2 linked regions of the Sus scrofa genome follow. The protein of the gene in region 1 interacts with the protein of each later gene in a pairwise test. Links are inferred from orthologs where the notes say so. Each region holds a gene or a part of one and is shown in the gene's direction. Other genes may lie near its edges.

Evidence for each region.
Region 2: the proteins of WDR6 (region 1) and PTPN3 interact in binary tests that used the Homo sapiens proteins (3 or more experiments, as listed by UniProt). The two-hybrid records come from large-scale screens. The link is inferred for Sus scrofa from reciprocal best matches to the Homo sapiens genes WDR6 and PTPN3.

What each region holds. Positions count from the first base shown.
Region 1 is NC_010455.5:31,637,285-31,647,363, forward strand, and holds the start of WDR6 (WD repeat-containing protein 6), read left to right. Parts: upstream 1-4,922; 5' UTR 4,923-5,239; coding exon 5,240-5,339; intron 5,340-9,746; coding exon 9,747-10,079. Other genes in the region: P4HTM (transmembrane prolyl 4-hydroxylase), read left to right, coding at 556-652, 1,990-2,152, 2,706-2,891, 3,622-3,712, 3,917-4,040, 4,559-4,779. UniProt on the Homo sapiens protein: Together with methyltransferase FTSJ1, methylates the 2'-O-ribose of nucleotides at position 34 of the tRNA anticodon loop of substrate tRNAs. Required for the correct positioning of the substrate tRNA for methylation.
Region 2 is NC_010443.5:250,521,567-250,531,790, reverse strand, and holds the start of PTPN3 (tyrosine-protein phosphatase non-receptor type 3), read left to right. Parts: upstream 1-5,403; 5' UTR 5,404-6,549; coding exon 6,550-6,625; intron 6,626-10,224.

The sequences.
Region 1 (10,079 bases):
CACGGAACTCATGCTGGGTAGGATGGCAGCTCTGAGGGGCCAGAAGTCTGCATCTCTCTCTGCAGGCCCCTCATGCTCAGGCTTCTGTGGGGTCCCTTGCCTACACAAAGTGCCTTACTGAGCCCATTCTCCCTAAGGAGGCCATTAGCCGACCAGGCCTTCCCATGGTGCCTGTTCCCTCTTCGCCCACAGGCCTTGGCCCCCCACCCCCACCCCCCAGCAACCTCACCTGGTGTATCTGGGCGGGACATAGGCCTGTCCTTCACTCTGCCTCCAACAAGCCAACAGTGTTCCCCATAGAAGCCAGAGTCCCAGTGGGGCTGGGAGTGGTCATGGCCCTCAGGTGTCGGCTGACTTCCTGGCCTCCTTCCCACATGCCTCTGTAACTCTCTGCCTGCCCTCACTTCAGCTTAGGGGCCTAAGGCTCTGTCCTGTGTCCTCACCCATGTGCTGTCACCTGAACCCTTAGCCCTACAGAAAGAACTAGGCAGCTCTCTGGGCTCTGATAACTCCATCACTGGGCCACCCCCACTGAGGCACCATCTTGTGCTTTAGGTCCTGGCCCAGACTCGCCTGGGAAATGGACGGTGGATGACTCCAGAGAACATTCAGGAGATGTACTCTGCGATCAAGGCTGACCCTGATGGTGATGGTGAGCTCATACCTCGCCACAAACCTGTCCTCGTGAGCCTCCTGCCCACCAGCCAGGCAGCCTCTCTGCCCAGCTTGTAGAGTAGCCAGAGATGAGAAGGTGAGGATCCAGCCTTGCCTTCACGGCTGGGAGGTGAGCAGGAGCTAGACCTTGCCATTTGGCTTGGTAACAGTCTAGAGGACAGTTTTTGGAGACCCTTTTGACTTCATCAGACAGCCTCTGGAGCATAGGAGGTATGGTTGCTGGCTGACAGAGGGCAGATTGGTAGAGCGGAAGCAAAGGGACAGTGAGGTCAGTTTCGCATCTGCCTCTCCCCAGTCTGGCCCAGCAGTCAGCCTCCTTGCTCTAACCAAGGTGTCCCCTTGCCTTCCTCTCACCCACTCAGAGTCATGCTAACTGCTGGGGGTGGGTGTGGGTAGGGATGTTGTGTAAGCACCCTCCCCTTTGGTAATAACCCTCAGAAAGTCTCTGAAGTGTAGTCACCACCCTCACGTCCAAGTGTGGACCAGTTGAGGAAATGGGACTTGGAAGAACAGCCTTGTGGCAGAGTGAAGAATCTGCCAGGACCTGTGGCTGGAGGGTTATCATGCTGCTACTGCCTCTGTGTACAGAGCTAGTGACAGACTCTCAGCCCTTGAGCCCCCCCCACCCTCAGAGGAAAATAGGCCAAAGCATGAAAGTGCCTCATTTGGGTCAGCCAGGATAACATGGAGCAAAGACATCAGCTACTCTTCCAGAACCCCAAAAGGGTAGAGCCCAGCTTTTTGGGTTGGGCAGGAAAAGGGAGAGTGTTCTCATTTGGGGGGGTGCCCTGGCTCTTTCTGCTCGGGTGGACTGGTTATCCAGCAGGCAGGTGTATTCCACTCAGGATAAGACTTTAGGTCACGAGGGAACTCCTGGGGACCAGTCCCACTACAGTGTGGATGGCCCTGGACAAAAGCAGCACTGAATGCTCTCTTTCTTCACCTGCTACAGGACTGGAGGGTGGCCACCACACTCTACAGAGCCAAGCTGGAGGGCCAGGGACAGTCCTTGGCCTAGGGTCCTGGCCACATGGCTTAAGCTTCCTTTGGAGAGACCCCGCTGTGGTCAATCTAAAAGGGGTTGGGCTTCATCCTTTTGGGGGCCAAATCAGGGCTTAAACTGAGGAAATAAACCTTTTGGGTCTTCCTGTAGGGCCTGATGTGACAGAAGCCAACTTCATCTGACCCAAGTCCAGGTTGGGGTGCACATGGCCCCCGAGTGCCTAAGGCCAGGGGAAGGTAGGAAGGTGTATCCCCCTAGTGTGGCCTCCCCCCACGGGCTTGGTGGGCATTGATGGTGGTTGCCCTGTGCAGGAGTGCTGAGCCTGCAGGAGTTCTCCGACATGGACCTTCGGGACTTTCACAAGTACATGAGGAGCCACAAAGCAGAGTCCAGTGAGCTGGTGCGTAACAGCTACCACACGTGGCTGTACCAGGGTGAAGGTGCCCATCACGTCATGCGTGCCATCCGCCAGAGGTGAGCACCTGAGGCTGTCCTCTCTGGTGCAGGGGGAGAGGACCACCAGGGCCCTTGAAGACCTTGGCTATTAACCAATTCAGGATTAAGTTCCAGTTGTTAGACTAGGATTGGGACCCATTAGGAGACAGATGATTAACAAAGGCCAGTTAACCCTAACTGTGGGCAAACAATATACATTTGGGATAAGAAAAAGGCTGAATGTTTGTCTTCTGCTAATTAGAGAAATGACCTCTTATCTCTGTCCACAGGACCCCCTGCCCCTGAGCAGCCAGGGGTTTTAGATAACCACCTCCTTCCTGGAGGGAATGTCTCTCCCTTGCCCAACTTAGTGGAAGTCTCCTCTTTCCCACCCAGTGGATGTTTCTGGCATCCAGGAAAAAGGGCTCATCATGAGTAACCCTTTCCTGTTCCTACAGGGCCAGTCTGGGGTGGCTTAAGGGGCTTCCAGGGGAAATAGGAAGGGGGAGAGCTTTTGGCAGGGACCACCCTGCCAGCTCCTTCAGGTGCCACCTGGCATGGGGCTGCCAGGCTGATGTCTGCTGCCCACCAGGGTGCTGCGCCTCACCCGCCTGTCACCTGAGATCGTGGAGCTCAGCGAGCCGCTGCAGGTCGTGCGGTATGGCGAGGGAGGCCACTACCATGCCCATGTGGACAGCGGGCCTGTGTACCCAGAGACCATCTGCTCCCATACCAAGCTGGTAGCCAACGAGTCTGTACCCTTTGAGACCTCCTGCCGGCAAGTACCTCCCACCTGGACACTGCCTTCAGTTCCCAGTCAGGCACCCCCATGACACAAGCACAGCCCTGCCCTGTGGGTGTGCCCCTTAGTATGTGGCTGGCAAAGTGCTGGGCCATCTTTGTCAAAGATACCCGCACTTCTCCCCCAAGTTGTTTACCAGCTGGCCCAAAAGGGTGGCTATCTTGTCTTGGTGGCTAGACTGAGGTACCCACAGACACTCAAACTCGCCCCTAGAGCTTTCAGGCAAGGGGCAAGTCTGGACCCCTGATTATTTCTGCCCCCTTCTGTGGTTGTTAATCCTGCCTCCACTGCTAGAGACCTCAGCTTCTCCCTTAAGTTGTGTCCCCCTTCCCTGTCAAGGTGTGGTGGCAGATCTTTCATCTTCATGTGGCTGCTCTGGCTTAGCCCCTGCCAGTTGCAGCCAGCCTTCCCCCTGCATGATCTTGCTGCTCCTGCTAGCCTGCCTTTCCCAGCTGACCCTTGGTCAAGACCATGTAATTTAGCTAACTGCACCTGAGATTTTGGCCACAAAAAACATTGTGACACCCAGAAGGAGACTTGTGGGAAGAATGGCCTAGGGACGTGTTGCTACTGACCTCCCTTGTTATCACGAAACCCAGCCTGCCCCTCTGGCCCTTGGGAACCTGGGCAGCTTATCCTGCCCACAGGTAAGCCTCTGGGAGTGTCCACAGATGGGGACCTGCTCAACAGCCCCCCTGCCTTACAGCTACATGACAGTGCTGTTTTATTTGAACAACGTCACCGGTGGGGGCGAGACTGTCTTCCCTGTAGCAGACAACAGAACCTATGATGAAATGGTAAGGGCCAACCCGGCTGTTACTCTGGTGGGATGGCAGGGCCTTGGGCAAATGTAGTGTATACCTCCCCCTTCAGACTTGGGATGAGGCCTAAACTGTCCCTTGAGCACTGGTGTCCCTCTGGCCACCTTTGGCTGCCTGGCCTTAGGCTCCTGGCCATACAGTAGGGATGGCTTGTAAACCCCATCACTCTGCTGCCCACAGAGTCTGATTCAGGATGACATTGACCTCCGTGACACTCGGAGGCACTGTGACAAGGGGAACCTGCGTGTCAAGCCCCGTCAGGGCACAGCAGTCTTCTGGTACAACTACCTGCCTGATGGGCAAGGTGAGGAACTTTGGCCAGGCTAGGGCTGCCTTGCGAGAAGCTTCCCTTTACTCAGCCCTGAATGCCACCCTGGGGAGCTGTTTCTGCCTGTCCTTCAAGTGGCTTTCTGCCCTTCGTCCCTCCCAAAGGCCATCCTCAGTGACTTCACCAGCCAGCACCTGTGCAGCCTCCTGGGTTATCTGGAGCCCTGTGATTCCCTGATGCCACATAGCTTTCCCGCTCATTGGGGCTGGGGACTTGTGCCCCTCAGTAACCCAGACTGGGAAGGTCTGTGGACAGGCCTGGCAGCTGGTTTCAGAGGGCTAGAGGTCTTGATAAGGCATTCACTGGAGAGAGATGCTGAGCCCCCAAGGAGGCCTTGGGGCCGTATGTTTGCCACTGAAGGTGTGCGCAGCTGGGCCTACCCTTGCCATGCACTTAGGCTACATGAGGCCAAACTCAGGCCAGCCCACAAGCTCAAGTCAGTCCAGCCTGGAGTCCCTACCGTCCCCTCGCTTGCTCACATCCTCCTCTCCTAGGTTGGGTGGGCGATGTGGACGACTACTCGCTGCACGGGGGCTGCCTGGTCACACGCGGAACTAAATGGATTGCCAACAACTGGATCAACGTGGACCCCAGCCGGGCGCGGCAGGCGCTCTTCCAGCAGGAGATGGCGCGCCTGGCCCGCGAAGGTGGCGCCGACTCGCAGCCGGAGTGGGCCCTGGACAGGGCCTACCGCAACGCGCGTGTGGAGCTCTGAGGGGAGTGTCCACCCTGAGGTCGGGGCCCTGCCGTCCCTCTGTCTAGCCGCAGGTCAAAGGCCTGGCCATTGTCTTGCCCCATCCCTGCCTCCAGCCACGATTAGGACATAGCTCCTATATCAATGTTATTTATTGTGTACAGACCTATGCTGCCCCGACAAATAAAACTACACGGTTTGGAGCTGCAGGGCGGAGAAGCTCCGGGGCGGGAGCGAGACCGGGCGAGGCGGAGCGCTGCGGAATCACGTGAGGGGGCGGGCACGAGCGGCCCCACCAATCCCAGCCTGACGGCGGGGGCGGGGGGCGGCCGTCATTGGACCTCTGCGGCGGGCGCCCTTGCCTCAGCTACCTGTTGCTAAGGCCGCTGTAGAGCTGCTGCGGGGCCGCGCGGGAAGGCTCCTCTCGCGGTATCTCTGCTCCTTTCTTGGCCGTGGCAGTTGCAGCCGCTCGTGGGTAGACATGGACGCTCACGAAGACTACGTTTGGCCGCGAGCAACCTCGGAGCTCATACTCCTCCCGGTCACGGGTCTGGAGTGCGTGGGGGAGCGGCTTTTGGCGGGTGAGCTTGATTTTGTGGCGCGCGCTAGCGAAGAAACCGAACATTTGCCTGGGGAGGGGCTTTAAGAACAAAGGGATGCTCGGAGGAGGAGGAAGAGGGGGGCGGGGGGCAGGTGGCGGGCGGGAGCCTAGGAGATGGCAGAGCTCCGGAGCGGCTGTAGTAGCCTAGGAAACAAAGGCTCCTAAGGCCTTTCATAAACTAGGTGACGCGGAGAGGGGAGCTGGGCTGCAGAAAGATGCGCGGGAGCGCGGTCGGCTGGGGCGGGGCAAGGGGAAGGAGAGACACCTGTGGCCGCGTCGCTGAGTTGGGCGGGGGCCTGGCCTCACTAGAGGGCCGCAGCGGGGAGGTCGGCGACAAGCCCCCCGTCCCCCATGTTGGTTTGGGTCCAGGACGCTTGTGGCCCGGTGGGGAAGCGGGGATGGAAGGAGCAGTAGGTGAGGCTCTTCCCTGGAAAATGAGGATGAAGAGCGTCTGATCGGGTCGTGGGGAGACCAGGGATGAGACCTTTTTAGGTTGGCCAGTGCTTGGAGAGGCGTAGGCTGAGGCCTCTTCCAAGATAGTTGGGGTCCAGCAATCCTGATATACGACTCCCCGACTCCCCTCCGAGGAGGGTCGGCTGGGGACGTAGACGCCTGGGAGCTGAGGTGGCAGAGTCCTGGGGAGCACTGAGGCCTGACTGAAAGCCATTAGTGACCAATGATGGTGATCTGAGTTTTATCAACTGAAAAAAAGTGCACAACCTAAAAGAATTATGTTTTATCTGGTAGCCAAAACTAAGAACTTAAGCCCAGAACACAGCTTCTTAGGTAACTCTGAAAGGCTGCTCTGAAGAGGCAAGGGGAAGGGGGGGAGGAGGAAGCCAGAATATATAGAAGTGTTTGCAACAAAAGGTCTGCTAGTTGGAACAACAAAAGATTATTGTTACTCAAAGAAAACCAGACATCTCAAGTTAATGAATTTAGTGTTTTGTTGTTGTGGTTTTTTTTTTTTTTTTTTGTCTTTTTTTGTCTTTTTCCCATTTTCTCTGGCTGCTCCCGCGGCATATAGAGGTTCCCAGGCTAGGGGTCGAATGGGACCTGTAGCCGCCCGCCTACGCCAGAGCCACAGCAACGCGAGATCCGAGCTGCGTCTGCAACCTACACCACAGCTCAGGGCAACGCTGGATCCTTAACCCAACTGAGCAAGGCCAGGGATCTAACCTGCAACCTCATGGTTCCTGGTCGGATTCGTTAACCACTGAGCCATGATGGGAACTCCGAATTTAGTGTTTTTTTAATGTATGGGAAGATGCAGAGTCTGGGCTCATTGAAATCATACTTTAGATATGCACCTCAGCTCTGGGGCTAGGACCCAGTGTTTTTCCCATCCTGAGTCTCTTAAGGATGCACCAATGGGGGTGGCTTCAGCATTCTCTGCAGGGCTCGCAGTCCGGGTAACTGTGCTGTGGTGGCCTGATGGCTGCAGTATCCTTTGTTTACTGATATGGCCTGCAGTTTTTCTTTTTTGGCGGCCTTGTGACGTATGGATTTCCCGGGCCAGGGATCAGATCAGAGCCCAGCTGCAGCAATCCCAGATTCTTTAATTTGCCTTGCTGCCCCGGGCACCACCAATTCCATTGTACCACAGTGGGAACTCTGGGCAGGCAATATTTTTCATTCACAGTTCGATAAGGGTCTTGAGGCAGGACAATGGCTGTCAAGCCTTGAATGCGCTGCCAGTCCTAAGAGGGATGGCTGTGTGTGGGTGGGGATGGATGGAGGGATGGCCCAGTTTTGATCTGGTGTGGGGGCTCTGGGAGCCCAGGGTTCCTACCATGAACTAAACTCATAAGGCTCCTGAAGGAGAGGATAGCTAGGCAGAAACCTGAACAACCACACGACGAGTAAACTAGGAGAAAGGGTGAGTTCCTGTCAGAGGGTGAGCGTGCCAAAGGCCTCGAGACTGAGAGAATCTGTCCCTTTGTGGGGAACGGGGAATGCTTGTGAGCCTTCAGCAGGGGTGGAGGTCTAGAAGAGACTGAGCAGAGGCCAGAACATTTTAGGCCTAGACCTGACTTTATCTCTAATGGAATAAAACCCATTGGTGAAGCCCCACTGAAAGGTTTTAAGCAGGGGAATGGCTTGGGAAATGCAGGTTAGAAAGATTTCAAAGTGAATTCCCCTGCTCCCGTGACTTCAAAAGTGACTTTATATTGACATTTCTCAGATCCCACCCATGTGTACCTATAATCTGAATTCCCAGCCCTGTTTGTTTGCGAGTGTCAGGCTCAAGTGCAACAGGTACCTACAAATTGAAGTATTCCTTCTGGGCATTCCAGCACGCAGGTGCCAGCCATTCAGGTGCCCAAGACCAAGAATCTACCTCACTCCCCAAGCCAGTCTCATTTTTTGGCACTTCATACAAGTGGCATCTTTTGGTTTGCCTTTTCTGCCATCATTCGAGGCCATGCAACTCTGTCTCCCTGATCCTCTTAGTAGCATTCTCTCTAGCCCATCCTTGAGCCCTTCATTTCTTCTAGCCATACTGCCCAAAGCTCTTGCTCACCTCAGGGACATCAAAGTTGCTATTTCCTCTGCTAAGAAAGTTCTCCTCCCTTCTGCCTGCTCTTCCTCTGGCCAACTGCTGCTGATCCTTAATTCCTCACTTTAAATGTTAGGTAGTCAAGTTGGCTTCCCCTGAACTCACCCAGTCTGCTTAGATTAGACCAGGGTTTCTCAGTCTAAGTATTACTGATGTTGGATCAGATCATTTTTTGTGTGAGGGGCTGTCTATTCATTGTAGGAGGTTTAGCAGTATCCCTAGCCTCCATGCCTAGATGCCCAGGAGCACACACATCTCTCAGTTTGGACAACCAAAAGTATTTTCAGACATTACCAGATGTCTTCTGGGGTGAAAATTGCCTCCATGTTGGAAACCACTGAAGTAGACTTTCCCATTTCATTTTCTTAACGTGCTCTATATAGTACTTTCCTGAAACTTACCAAGGTTATAATGATGTCGTTCACTTGTGTGGTATCGTTTAATGTCTGCCTAATCCACAGCAGCAGGGTCTTGTTCACTGCTTCAGCATATAGTTCATTACCTGGTTTGTCATCAATGCTCATGTATTGAATATTGAGATTGAGATTGGAGGCTGGGAATAGCATGGGGGATTGATATTGTCATTTCAGGTTAAGAGGTGTTGTCCTGGACCAAAGTCAACTATAGTGGGTTGGATTGCAAAGTCTTTGGTGTTTTTTTGTTTGTTTGTTTCGTTTTATTTTTAGGGCTGCACTTGCAGCATATGGAGGTTCCCAGGCTAGCGGTCAAATCAGAGCTACAGCTGCCGGCCTACCCCACAGCCACAGCAACTCGGCATCTGAGCCACATCTTCGTTCTACACAGCTCACTGCAGTGCTGGATCCTTAACCCACTGAGTGAGGCCAGGGATCGAAGCCACATCCTCATGGATTCTAGTTGGGTTCGTTAACCACTGAGCCACGAAGGGAACTCTGGATTGCAAATTCTTTAGAAAATGAAATCTACAGATCTTTAGAAAATGAAGTCTACAGATCTGCAGAACTTGGATACAGATGTGGCAAGTTAAGAGGAATGGGCTTTCTAGTTTGTGGGGGGCAGGGTGGGCAGAGGATGGTAATGGTCATTGGGATGAGCAGCATGGAGCAAACTAGATGAGTCAGCAGCATGGGACGTGCCTGCAGGGCAGCCAAAAGGCAGTTGGGGGTCACAGCTGAGGGTCTGCTGTCAAAGCGTGAGCTGCCCTCTCCCCATTTTAAAAATAAATTTATTTTTTTTATTATGTCTCTCTCTATTGATAGTGAACATGCTCACATCTTCTGAGATACAGAGAAGCTCCTGGAAATCAGGAGTCTTTCTGCTGTGGCCTCAAAGTAGAAAGCTTGACTTGTGGGACTATCTCTTCCCTGGAGGAGGAAGGGAGTAGAAAGAATGTCTGTAGAGGTAAACGAGGCCAAGGATTTGGGGGACAAAACTGAGAGGATTCCTGTCTGAAGCATGGGAAGTTAAATGGGATGAGGAGGAGACTAAGTTTGAGGAATTCATGTTTGAACTGAATGTCATGGGTGACTGATGAGGGGATCAGAAAGTCAGGACTGGGAGTTCCCTGGTGGCTCAGTGGCTCTGGTTCCATCCCTGACCTGGACACTTCCACATACTGTAGGCAAGGCCAAAAGGAAAAAAAAAAAAAAAAAAAATTAAGTCAGGACTGAAAGTACAGCTGAAGCTGAGACCAGGATTTTCCAAGGTTCAAGTCTGCAGTTTGAGCATACTTGCAGTAACCTAATAGGTTCATAAGCTACATACTGAGAATTTTCCCTACTCCCTGTTTCTTCATGGCTCATCAGAGTTAGGCGAGGGGTTCTTATGTGGCTTTTTGCCTTTGTCTAGGTGAGGGGCCAGATGTCCTCGTGTACACCTTGGATTTTGGCGGACATCTGCGGATGATGAAACGAGTGCAGAACCTGCTTGGCCACTATCTTATCCATGGGTTCCGGGTGCGACCAGAACCCAACGGAGACCTTGACTCGGAGGCCATGGTGGCAGTGTTTGGGAGCAAGGGACTCCGAATTGTGAAAATTAGCTGGGGACAGGGCCGCTTCCGGGAGCTCTGGCGCTCTGGCTTGTGGAACTTGTCTGACTGGATCTGGGATGCACGTTGGCTCGAGGGGAACATGGCCTTGGCCCTGGGCCACAACTCAGTAGTGCTGTACGACCCTGTGG
Region 2 (10,224 bases), on another chromosome or scaffold:
TTGGATGCAGAGAGACCAGGCAGGAAACCAGTAGCTAGGGATTCCTGTACCAAGGCCAGTATGGGGCCATTTATTAGCAAGCCTAGATTTGCAGTATTGAGTCGTCAGATGCTCAGTCCCGGGGAGGGGGCAGACCCTGGGGTCTGATTAGTCCAATTCCTTGGCTCATTTAATGCCTGGCAAAAAACCACGAACCCTGCCTTCCTGGGTTAAAAAGTGTAGGCGTCCCTCATTGTGTTGATACTTCGAAGATACTGTGTTTTTTTTTGTTTGTTTGTTTGTTGTTGTTTTTTACAAATTGAAGGATTGTGGCCACCCTGCATCAAGTAAGTCTTTTGGCGCCATTTTACCCACTGCATTTGCTCACTTTGTGTCTGTGTCACCTTTTATTAGTTCTCAAAATCTTTCAAACCTCCACCAGCAAAAGATGAGTCACTGAAGGTTCATATGATGGTTGGCATTTTTTAGCAATAAGGTTTTTAAATTAAGGTGTGTATATTGTTTTTTATGCATAATGCTATTATACACTTAGTAGACTACAGTCTAGTATAAATATAACTTGTATATGCATTGGGAGACCAAACAATGTATGTGACTCGCTTTATTGCAGTATTTGCTTTATTGCCACATTAGAACCAAACCCTCAAGGTCTCTGAGGTATGCCTGTATTATAGGGTGAAAATGTGAAGCTATAGAGGGATTTTTCTGGGACAACTCAGTCCTGCTGACTTCAAGAACGTGATCCGGCACAGTATAATGTTCTTAGAACTCTAGGCATTGGTGGCTGTAATGGAAAAGCCAGTTAGTGAAAGAGTCTCTAGTTAATAGAATGCAGGGTACTAGCACTTACTGAACTTTGGAAAATTTTCTAGTGAACAGTATTATGTTTACTGGTTTAAATCCTCCTTCTCAGCCCCCCAGCACAGCTGTGTAAAAGCATTGAGTCTAAGGTCACCTTTTTCATTACAGAGACATTCACATAGTCTCATCTGTAGGGACCTCAGGATAACTTTTTCTAGCTCCCTCTCTTTACTGATGGGGAAACTGAGGCATGTCCAGGGGACGTAGTCAGAGAGCAGGGACTGGTACCCGCATCATACAGGTTCCAGCCCCCAGATCTTAGGTATGTTTTCTAGATCTCATCTGAGGAAGTTTATTAAATGGACTGTGTGTTCCTCTCATCTGGTGAACATCCTTTGACATTTCTCTGACTGTAAGAATGAGCTATACTGGTGTCGAAGCAGCTATGCATTACTTGCTCTTTTATGTAGAAGTTGCTAGGCTGATTTTTTTTTTCACTTTCATATAAAGGAGATGATATGTACCTTCCATTGAATCTGTATATTCTGTGCTAGAGTTTCTCAAACGTCAGTCCATCAGAATCACCTTTTAGGAGTTCCCATCTTGGCTCAGTGGTTAATGAACTCGACTAGTATCCATGAGGACTCAGGTTTGATCCCTGGCCTCACTCAGTGGGTTAAGGATCCAGTGTGGCTGTGAGCTGTGGTGTAGGTCACAGACGTGGCTTGGATCTGGCGTGGCTGTGGTTGTGGCATAGGCCAGCAGCTGTAGCTCCTATTCGACCCCTAGCCTGGGAATCTCCGTATGCTGAGGGTGAGGCCCTAAAAAGACGAAAGACAAAAAAAAAAAAAAGAATCACATTTTAAAACACAGGCTGCTGGGCCCCACCCCCAGAGTTTCTGATTCAGTGGCTTTGAATCAGACCCAGGTGGGGCTTTGGTATTTGCATTTCTAACAGGCTTTTCCATGATGCTGCTGGTCCAGAGACCAGGGACCTTCCTTTGAGGACCACTGCTCCAGGCTTCGTGATAGTTTCAGATGGTGTGCTTTCTGCTTTGCAGCCACTGGGCCCTCCCTGCTGCCCAAACAGCCCTCTGTCCTCCTTTGTTGCTGCCATGCCAGCCAACCTGACTTTTTTCCATGCTCTCCATGTCTCCTACCTGTCGCCCTCCTCTCCAGGTGACCTCCCCCCCCACACACACACCACCTATAGCCATGAGATGCTGAGGGCCATGTACAGGGAGTCTCCTCCCCCCACCCCCCACCTTCATTTTCTGGCTCCTCTCTTCTTTCTTCCAGTTTGAGAAAATGAGTGTCTCTGGCTGGTTCAGGCTTACCGCTCCAGTTACAGTTGAAGACTGTTGTCCTATCACCTGGGGGAAGAAAAGAAACCTTCTCCAACCCTGGCCTCACTGTTAGGTCACCGCCCCATCACCCCCTTCCTTTCACTGCGAAGCCTGCCGGAGGAATAGTTGACAGTCTCTGAAAAAGATTTGCTCTTACTGCTTTTGACACAGACATACTGTTCAGTTCTAGGAGTTCAGGTTTTCTATACCTATAATGAAAGAAAGACATTTTTAAAAAAAATTTTGGGTGCTCCTGGGCATATGGAGTTCCTGGGCCAGGAATCAGATCTGAGCCGTGGTTGTGACCTGTGCTGCAGCCACAGCGATGCTGGATCCTTTAACCCACTGCGTTAGGCTGGGGATTGAACCTGCATCCTGGTGCTGCAGAGATGGCACCGATCTTGTTGTGCCACAGTGGAAACTCCAAAAGACGTATAAAAATTGTGGTAAAATACATATGACATAAAACTTACCATCCTAACCATTTTTAAGTGTAAGTACAGTTCAGTGGCTTTAAGCACAGTCACATATTTGTGCTACTATTACCACCACAAATCCACAGAACTCTTCATCTTGCAAAAGTGAAACTCTGTCCCTTTTAAGAGAAACTCCGTTTCTCCCCCATCCATGTCCCTGGCAGCCACCCTTCTACTTTCTGTCTCTCTGATTTTAACTACTATAAAGAGACCTTGTAGAAGTAGAATCATGCAGCACTTGTCCTTCTGTGACTGGCTTATTTCACTTAGCATTAATGTTCTCCAGATTGATCCATGTTGTCACATGTGTCAGAAATCCCTAGCTTTTTAAGGCTGAGTAATACTCCAGTGGACTTACATTACCACATTCTGTTATTCATTCACCTGTCAGTGGGCTGCTTCCACCTTTCGGCTTTTGCAAGCAGTGCCGCTGTGAACACACGTGTGCCGAAGGCCGTAATTGTGGTTAAAGGGGCCTTGCAACCTCAGGTGAGATGTTTAGGAATTTATTCATCCTGCAGTCTCAGCTTCATCTGCCGCCTGCATCCCTCAGCCCAGTGTTCCCAGGCTACCCCACCCCTTGAGCAACACTACTCTTGCCGTGGGACCTGGCCAGGGCCACTCACTTGTCAGGACCGGTGGCCAGTTTGCATATCTCAGCGCATTTGATCTCTGTGCTGCAGCTTCTGTGACGCAGCTCTCCTCCTGCCTCTCCGCTCACCCTGGGCATCTGGCCCCCTTTTCCTCTCCTCTTATCCTCCTGCAGGCTTTCCTGGGTGTGCACACCCAATCCCATCCTCGGGGGCGCACAGGTCTATCATCTCTGTGTATATCACATCCCAGCATTTCCCTCAAGGGTCCTCAGCTTCCCCACTTTGCACACACATGTCCAGAGCAGAGCTCTGCACCTTCCTCCTTAAAAAAGCTCTCTCTGTAAGTGACAGGATCTTCCAGCTTAGAAACCGCAGGGTCTCCTTTCTCTCCCCCGACAGTGACAGCAGCGCTGGACAGATCCCACCCGTCTGTCACACCTCAGCCCCTCCTGCAGCCTGCCCCCTCCTTCCCACCCCGCACTGGGACTGGGTCACTGCACATGCTTCTCCCCTTTGCCTCCACTTTGCTGCTCTCCCTAGCAAGCCCCTCACACCTAGACCTCCCTCACGTTGCTTCCAGAAAGTGTTCCCTGCAGAAGCACTAAGATCACCTCTTCTTTGCCGGTCCTGTGTCACCTGCCTCCATCTGACCTTGTTTTCCCCTCCCCACCCCTCAACCCCCCACGGCCAGCCCTGCAAACCCTAGACTACACCAGGGCTTCCCAAGCTTCAGTGTTAAGATACAGATTCCGATTTAAGGAGTTTGGGGTGGGCCCTGCCTTCTGCGTCTCTAACAAGCTGGGTGGTGTTGAGACTGTGGCCCAGAGATCACAGGTTGAGTAGCTGGACTCCAGTACAGACCTGCATCTCACAGAGTGCTATTCCAGTCTGTAAATGATGGAGGGATTAATTTTGTGTTGCAATTTTAACATTTTCTGTTTTATACAAGGTTAATCTTAAATGTTTTCAGTCGCAGAGCAGATTCCTTGTTACAGTGATTATTTGCTCCTAAAAGACATTTTCGAAGATGAAGGCTTTGGTTTCTTGGGTTAGCGTATAGATCCAGGTGCGTGAATGTATCGCAGAGGCGGTGTGAGAACGTCTCCCCATTGAAGGGGTCCATCCTCAGGTTGGGCTCCGTCTTGTGAGCTCCCCCAGGGTAGAGACGGCCTCTTAGCTCCATCCCCAGGGTGCAGCTGGGCCTCCTTGGGAAGGAGGCAGGTCTCCAACCCTCCTCTTGGAGATGGTGGTGGACACAGCCGATTTGATATGGGCAGACTGGGCTTGGAGGGGGAGCCCCATCATGTTGGGGGAGGGAAAGTTTCGGGCAGCTGGGCCCTTTTTCATGACTCTTGATAAGGCTTTGCTGTGGGGGAGCTGCTTGGGAGAAACCCCCGGTGCTGGTGTCCCTGGCGCTGGGCTTCCTCCTGGAGAGGGGAGGGGAGGGCAGAAGGCAAGCGATGGAGCCCAGCATGCCAGGGGGATCTGACTGCATTTCCCGCTTTGGGAGGGTCTGAGGAGCATGTCTTAAATGGTGAAGGGGCTGGTTTGTGGGTGAGGGAATGGGACGAGGGTCAGGGAGGAGGTGGCTGTTTGGGGCCAGCCCACTCCAAAAGCATCATTGCTCCTGTTGCCCTGAAAGTCTCAGCCCTTTAGTCGGTCACTACAGGGCTTCGCGGTCTGGCCCCTGTACCTCTCCCACTTGTGTGTTACTTGTCCCCATGTTTCTAGGTCCTGGTTAAGTGACTGTCCCCAGCTAAAGTGCAGACATTCCTCCTCCTCCTCGGAAGCTCGCTCTGTGAGGCTGTGGTGCCCACCATCTCTCCCGGCGCAGGGTGTAAGCTGGGGTTGTCTCCAGAAGCCCTCTTACTCCCTGACCTCCCAAAGCCTCCACTCCCTCACTTCCACAGCGGGAATGACAGGTGTCCCCATGTAGGGTCAGGTGAAGATTCCACAATGACACGTGCTTCTTCTGGTGGCACATAATTACTCAGAAAGTCTCTGCCTGCCATCTGTCCCTCTCAGTGAGCTTGACAGAAGGACCGTCGTGTGCCACTTGTCCACAGGTGGAGGCCGGGGCTCAGATGGCGAGGGCTGTGACACGCACGTGCTGTCCTGGGCCAGGTGGGGCCGGGGGGGATGTGAAGGTCAGTGGGACTGAGGGGGTGGACGCTCTGGAGGTGGGGTGTCAGCTCGCTGCGTCTATGTTGATGCCAAAAGGTGGCAGCTGGCAACAGCATGAAGAGGAGGAAGCCAAAGGCCTGGGGAGTGGAGTTGAGGCAGAGAGCAGGGCCTCTCACACTTCCGTGCACATATGAGAAGATTCAGGTTCTGGAGGCCTGGGGTCAGGGTGAGCGTCTGCTTTCCTAACCAGCGCCCGTGTTATGCTGATGCCTCGAGGCTGGACACCACACTTTGAGTGGTATTGGTCAGGAATGTGACTCATGGTGGCGAGGCTCGGGGAGAAGGGGCTGTCGAAGCAAAGTCAGCACAGCTGCCTGGCTTTCTAGCCAGCCCCACGGAGCAAGTGCCGCCGGGGGTCTGGGGTCTGGAGGGTGAGATCGGAGTCAGATTGTGGGTGATGGATGAGGGGCAGTAGGGGCCACTACAGGCTTTGGGATAAGTAGTGTGTGGGTGATTTGATTTTGCTGTTTGATACGCCATCCTTCAAGGTCAATTTTTGCCATTAGAATCCCCTTAAAAGCTATTTCCTTCTGTCCCTGGCTGCACTGTGGTCACACCTGAGACAAGGCCCCCACAGCCTGGGGCACACCTGTCTTCATAGCACTTCCCACACGGAAAGGTGGTTATTTAATTTTTCATGAGTCTCTCTCTGACAAGCCTCTCGGTTCCCCAAGAGCAGGAACCTGAGACGGTTCTTATTCACCTCTGCACCCTTGCACCCGCCATGGAGCCTGGCCACAGCCGGGGCTCATAAACTGCCTGCGGCGCCATAGAGGGGTGAAGGCAGGATGTTCATGCAGAAGGCGTGTGTAAAGCCCTGTGACGGGCAGATCAGGAGAACCAAGCCCTGAGTCGGGTGCCTGGGCGAGTGTCGGTGTGGATGGGAGAAGATGGAGTGAGGAGTCAGCAGAACCTCAAATGAACATGCCAGGAGCATCTTCAGAAGACAGAACCCAGGCTCAGAAAGGGTGATCGCCTGGGGTTTGGATTTGGGCAGCACTGTGAGAGTTGGGCTGTGAGTTTTCTGGAGTGGTGGAGGCTTCGACGAGGGGAATGGGCATTTCAGCCAAGAAACCACTGCTTTGATCCAGGATCCCAGAGCAAAACTGCTTTTCTGCACCCCTCAGGAGAGGACAGGTGTCCGGATTTATGCAGATTGGGAATAAGGACATTACTCCCCGTCCATCAGCGTGCCCTATGTACAGCGCTTCACAAGGTAGAGCCGGTAGGTTGGGGCCCATCCTGTGCTAGGGCTTAGAGACCCTCACAGCACTTAGCATGTTGCACCTCAGCTGCAAAGGGCGTGGTGAGGTGAGGGTCTAACTCGCTGAACCTCAGAGGCCCTTGAGGTGGGGGCCTTCAGGTCCCTGTGAGCTGGGTTCAACCTCATTCTCCTGAGGAGGATGTGGAGTCTCAGAGAGGTTCAGTATCTTACCCGGGGTCACACAGCGGGGAAGCGGAAGAAGAGTCAGGCGCCATCGTGGGTCTGTGGGCCAGGAGGGTATCAGGTGGGGCAGCCCAGCTTGGACCAGGATTTCGGGGGGTGGGGCAGCAGGTATGGCAACTGAGTCAGAGCTGTGGCAGGGTGGGGGGCAAGCGGGAGGAAGAGGAGGAGCAGGGTGGGCTGAACGCAGAAAGGGGCCAGGACGTGACCCAGTCGAGGGATGGAGGGTTAAGCAGTTGCAACCTGGGCACCAGTGAGGTATCAGGTAAGAGTATTTTAAGTTCTGTTGATTTTTGGAGTCATTATTGCTCATAGAAAACTTAGGCAATACAGAAAGTTTGAAAGAATAGAAAAATGAACACATTTTCACAGTCTTGTGAATTCCCTTCGTAGTTGTGGTCACAGCATAAGTACAATTTTATAACTAGCCCTTTTTACTTAATATTCTAATAGTTTCCATGTCATTGTGAAGTCTTCATGGAAGTTCTGTGGCTAGTTTATGATTTACTTAACTGGCCCCCTAAGGTTAGAAATCAGCTTTTGGGTTGCAGTTTTCAGTGTTACGTCACTGGAAGGAAGAACCTTGCAAATAAAACTTTCATGTCTGGATATATCCTGACCGTAGGTCCCTAGAAATGGAACTACTGGGTCCAACCACCGCCCGGCATTGTTGGAATGCTATGCTGCTAGGAGTGCTGACACGAGCCTTCTAGAAGTGCAGGCGTAAGCCTTGTGCACACTAGCTGTTCATTCATGTGTGTGTGTATTTCACAAGCACTTATTAGGCACCCATGGGGAGAGACTGCTTTCTACAGCCAGGTCAGCACCGCAGCAGCTGCCGGCCTCCTGGGCTTGGCTGAGATGCGTGGGAGTGTTGACAGCACTCCATGTCCCAGCCCCACCTGCCCAGTCACAGGTGCAGGAGCCCGGGACAGCCTGTGGGCCTCTGGCTGCAGGTTCCAGGCAGCGCTCACCTGGGCGTGTGAAGCTGCCCGCCTCCACCTCTGTAAACGCTTTTCGTGACACGGAAATGCTGAGTGTGGTGCTCCCTACTTTGTCCCTTTCTCCACGCCTTTCGCAGATACTTACCTGGTACCCACGGCCTGCTCGGCACTGTTCCAGGGACCAGGGATACAGCAATTGACAGTGACGTCCCTGCCTTTAAGGAACTTTCACTCCTGTGGGAGGTAGGGACGTGGAAATTGGGAGGAGACAAGCAGTGGACATATTAGGTCCAGCGCTGATGAATGCTGAGGAGAGGAGGGATGGGGAGGGCGCACTGATGGGCTGAATTGTTGAGCAGACCTGTACAGGGAGGGACAGAGCCCGGTGCAGGATGTCTGAGGGAAGGGCATTCTGAGCACAGGGAACAGCAGCTGCGAACACCTGTGGCAGGAACCAGCCTGTAACAAGCAGGTCCAGGGAAGGGGGCCGTGTGGCTGGCTCAGGGTGAGCAGATGACGTGGACAGGGAGGGGGCCCTCATGTAGCAGAATGAGTCAGGATCCAGGGTTCATTTTTCCACTGGCAGGTTTTGGAGCCCAAGGGCCACTCCCACCATTTGAAGCAGTTCAGCCTCCCCTCATGCCTTTCTGACCCTCAAGCGGGTGACCACGCAGGCCTGCGTTTGGTGGGAAAAGGCCTGGAGTGGAAGCCCAGGCTTTGGGAAGTCACTGGCTCCACTGGAGCTTCTGTTTCCTCCTCTGTGCGATGAGAGACTTGAACAAGGCACGTTGAGCTTTCCAGGGCCAGGACCCTTGGCTCTGTCCTTAGTTAAGTGCATTGGTTAACTTTGGATTGTTTTAGTTGAATAGAAGTGGGTAAGGCAGTTGCTCATGCACATTTAGTTCTTAATATGGTCAGCCTCTCCGGTTTGCTTTGTTATAGACAAGAGTCTTTGGACCAGCTGTCAGTGGTCTCACAGTGGTGATGAGAAGTAGGCGGGGGATGGAGGATACTCCTTGGCTGTAGTTTATCCACTTCACTAGCCATTCATCCCACAGTTAATTATGGAGCACCTGCTGGGTACCAGGCACTGGGTCATGATTTTTAAAAGACCCAGACCCCGCCTTTAAGAAGTTCACAGTCTAGAAGTTCCCACTGTGGCACAGTGGGTTAAGGATCCAGCATTGTCACTGCAACAGCTTGGGTCACTGCAGTGGCATAGGTTTGATTCCTGAAAAAAGAAAATTAAGTTCAGGAACTCCTGTCTTGGTGCATTGGAAACAAATCTGACTAGTAACCATGTGGTTGTAGGTTCGATCCCAGGCCTCGCTCAGTGGGTTAAGAATCTGGTGTTGCCGTGACCTGTAGTGTAGGTCACAGACGTGGCCCAGTCCTGCATTGCTGTGGCTGTGGTGTAGGCCAGCAGCTGTAGCTCAGATTCGCCCCCTAGCCTGGGAACCTCCATATGCCACAGGTGCGGCCCTAAAAAGCAAGGATTGATGCCCTAAATACGAGCTAAAGCCATGGAACAAAAGCAAAATAGGTAAATTGGACTTCATCAAAATTAAAATCTTTTGTGCCTCAAAAGACATTATCACAAGCTCCCATTGTGGCTCAGTGATAGCGAGCCCAACTAGTATCCCTGAGGATGTGGGTTTGATCCCTGGCCTCTCTCAGTGGGTTAAGGATCCGACATTGCTATGAGCTGTGGTGTAGTTCACAGACACTCGGATCCTGCATTGCTGTGGCTGTGGTGTAGGCCAGCAGCTGTGGCTCAGACTCCACCTCTAGCCTGGGAGCTTCCATATGCCGCAGGCATGGCCCTATAAAGCAAAAGCAAAAAAAAAAAAAAAAAAAAAAAAAAACAGACATTATCAAGAAACAGCCTACAGAGTGGGAGAAAATATTTGCAAATAATATCTGACAAAAGTTTACCGTAACATAGAGAATAAAGAACTCCTGTAACTCAATCCAAATTGAGATAACCCAGTTTAAAAATGGGCAGAGGACTTGAGTAGATGCTTCTCTGCAGACCTACAAATGAACACATGAAAAGATGCTTAACCTCAGTCATTAGGGAAATGCAAATTAAAACCCCAGTGAGATATCACTTGACCCCTTCTAGGATGCCTATGATCAAAAGTATTGATAAGGATGTGGAACCCTTTTACCTTGCTACTGGGAATGTAAAATGCTGCAGCCTCTGTAGCAAAGTTCGGTGGCTCTTCAAAAACAAAACGTAGAGTTACTGTATGACCCAGCAGTCATACTCCTAGGACTCCAAAGAATTGAACATGGGCACAACCAGCCACTTCTACAGAGATGTTCACTGTAGCTCTGTTTACAGTACAGTAGCCAAATGGTAGAAGCAGCCTAAGTGTGAGCAAATGGATGGATAAACAAACTAGGGTCCCACCATACAATGGAATATTATTC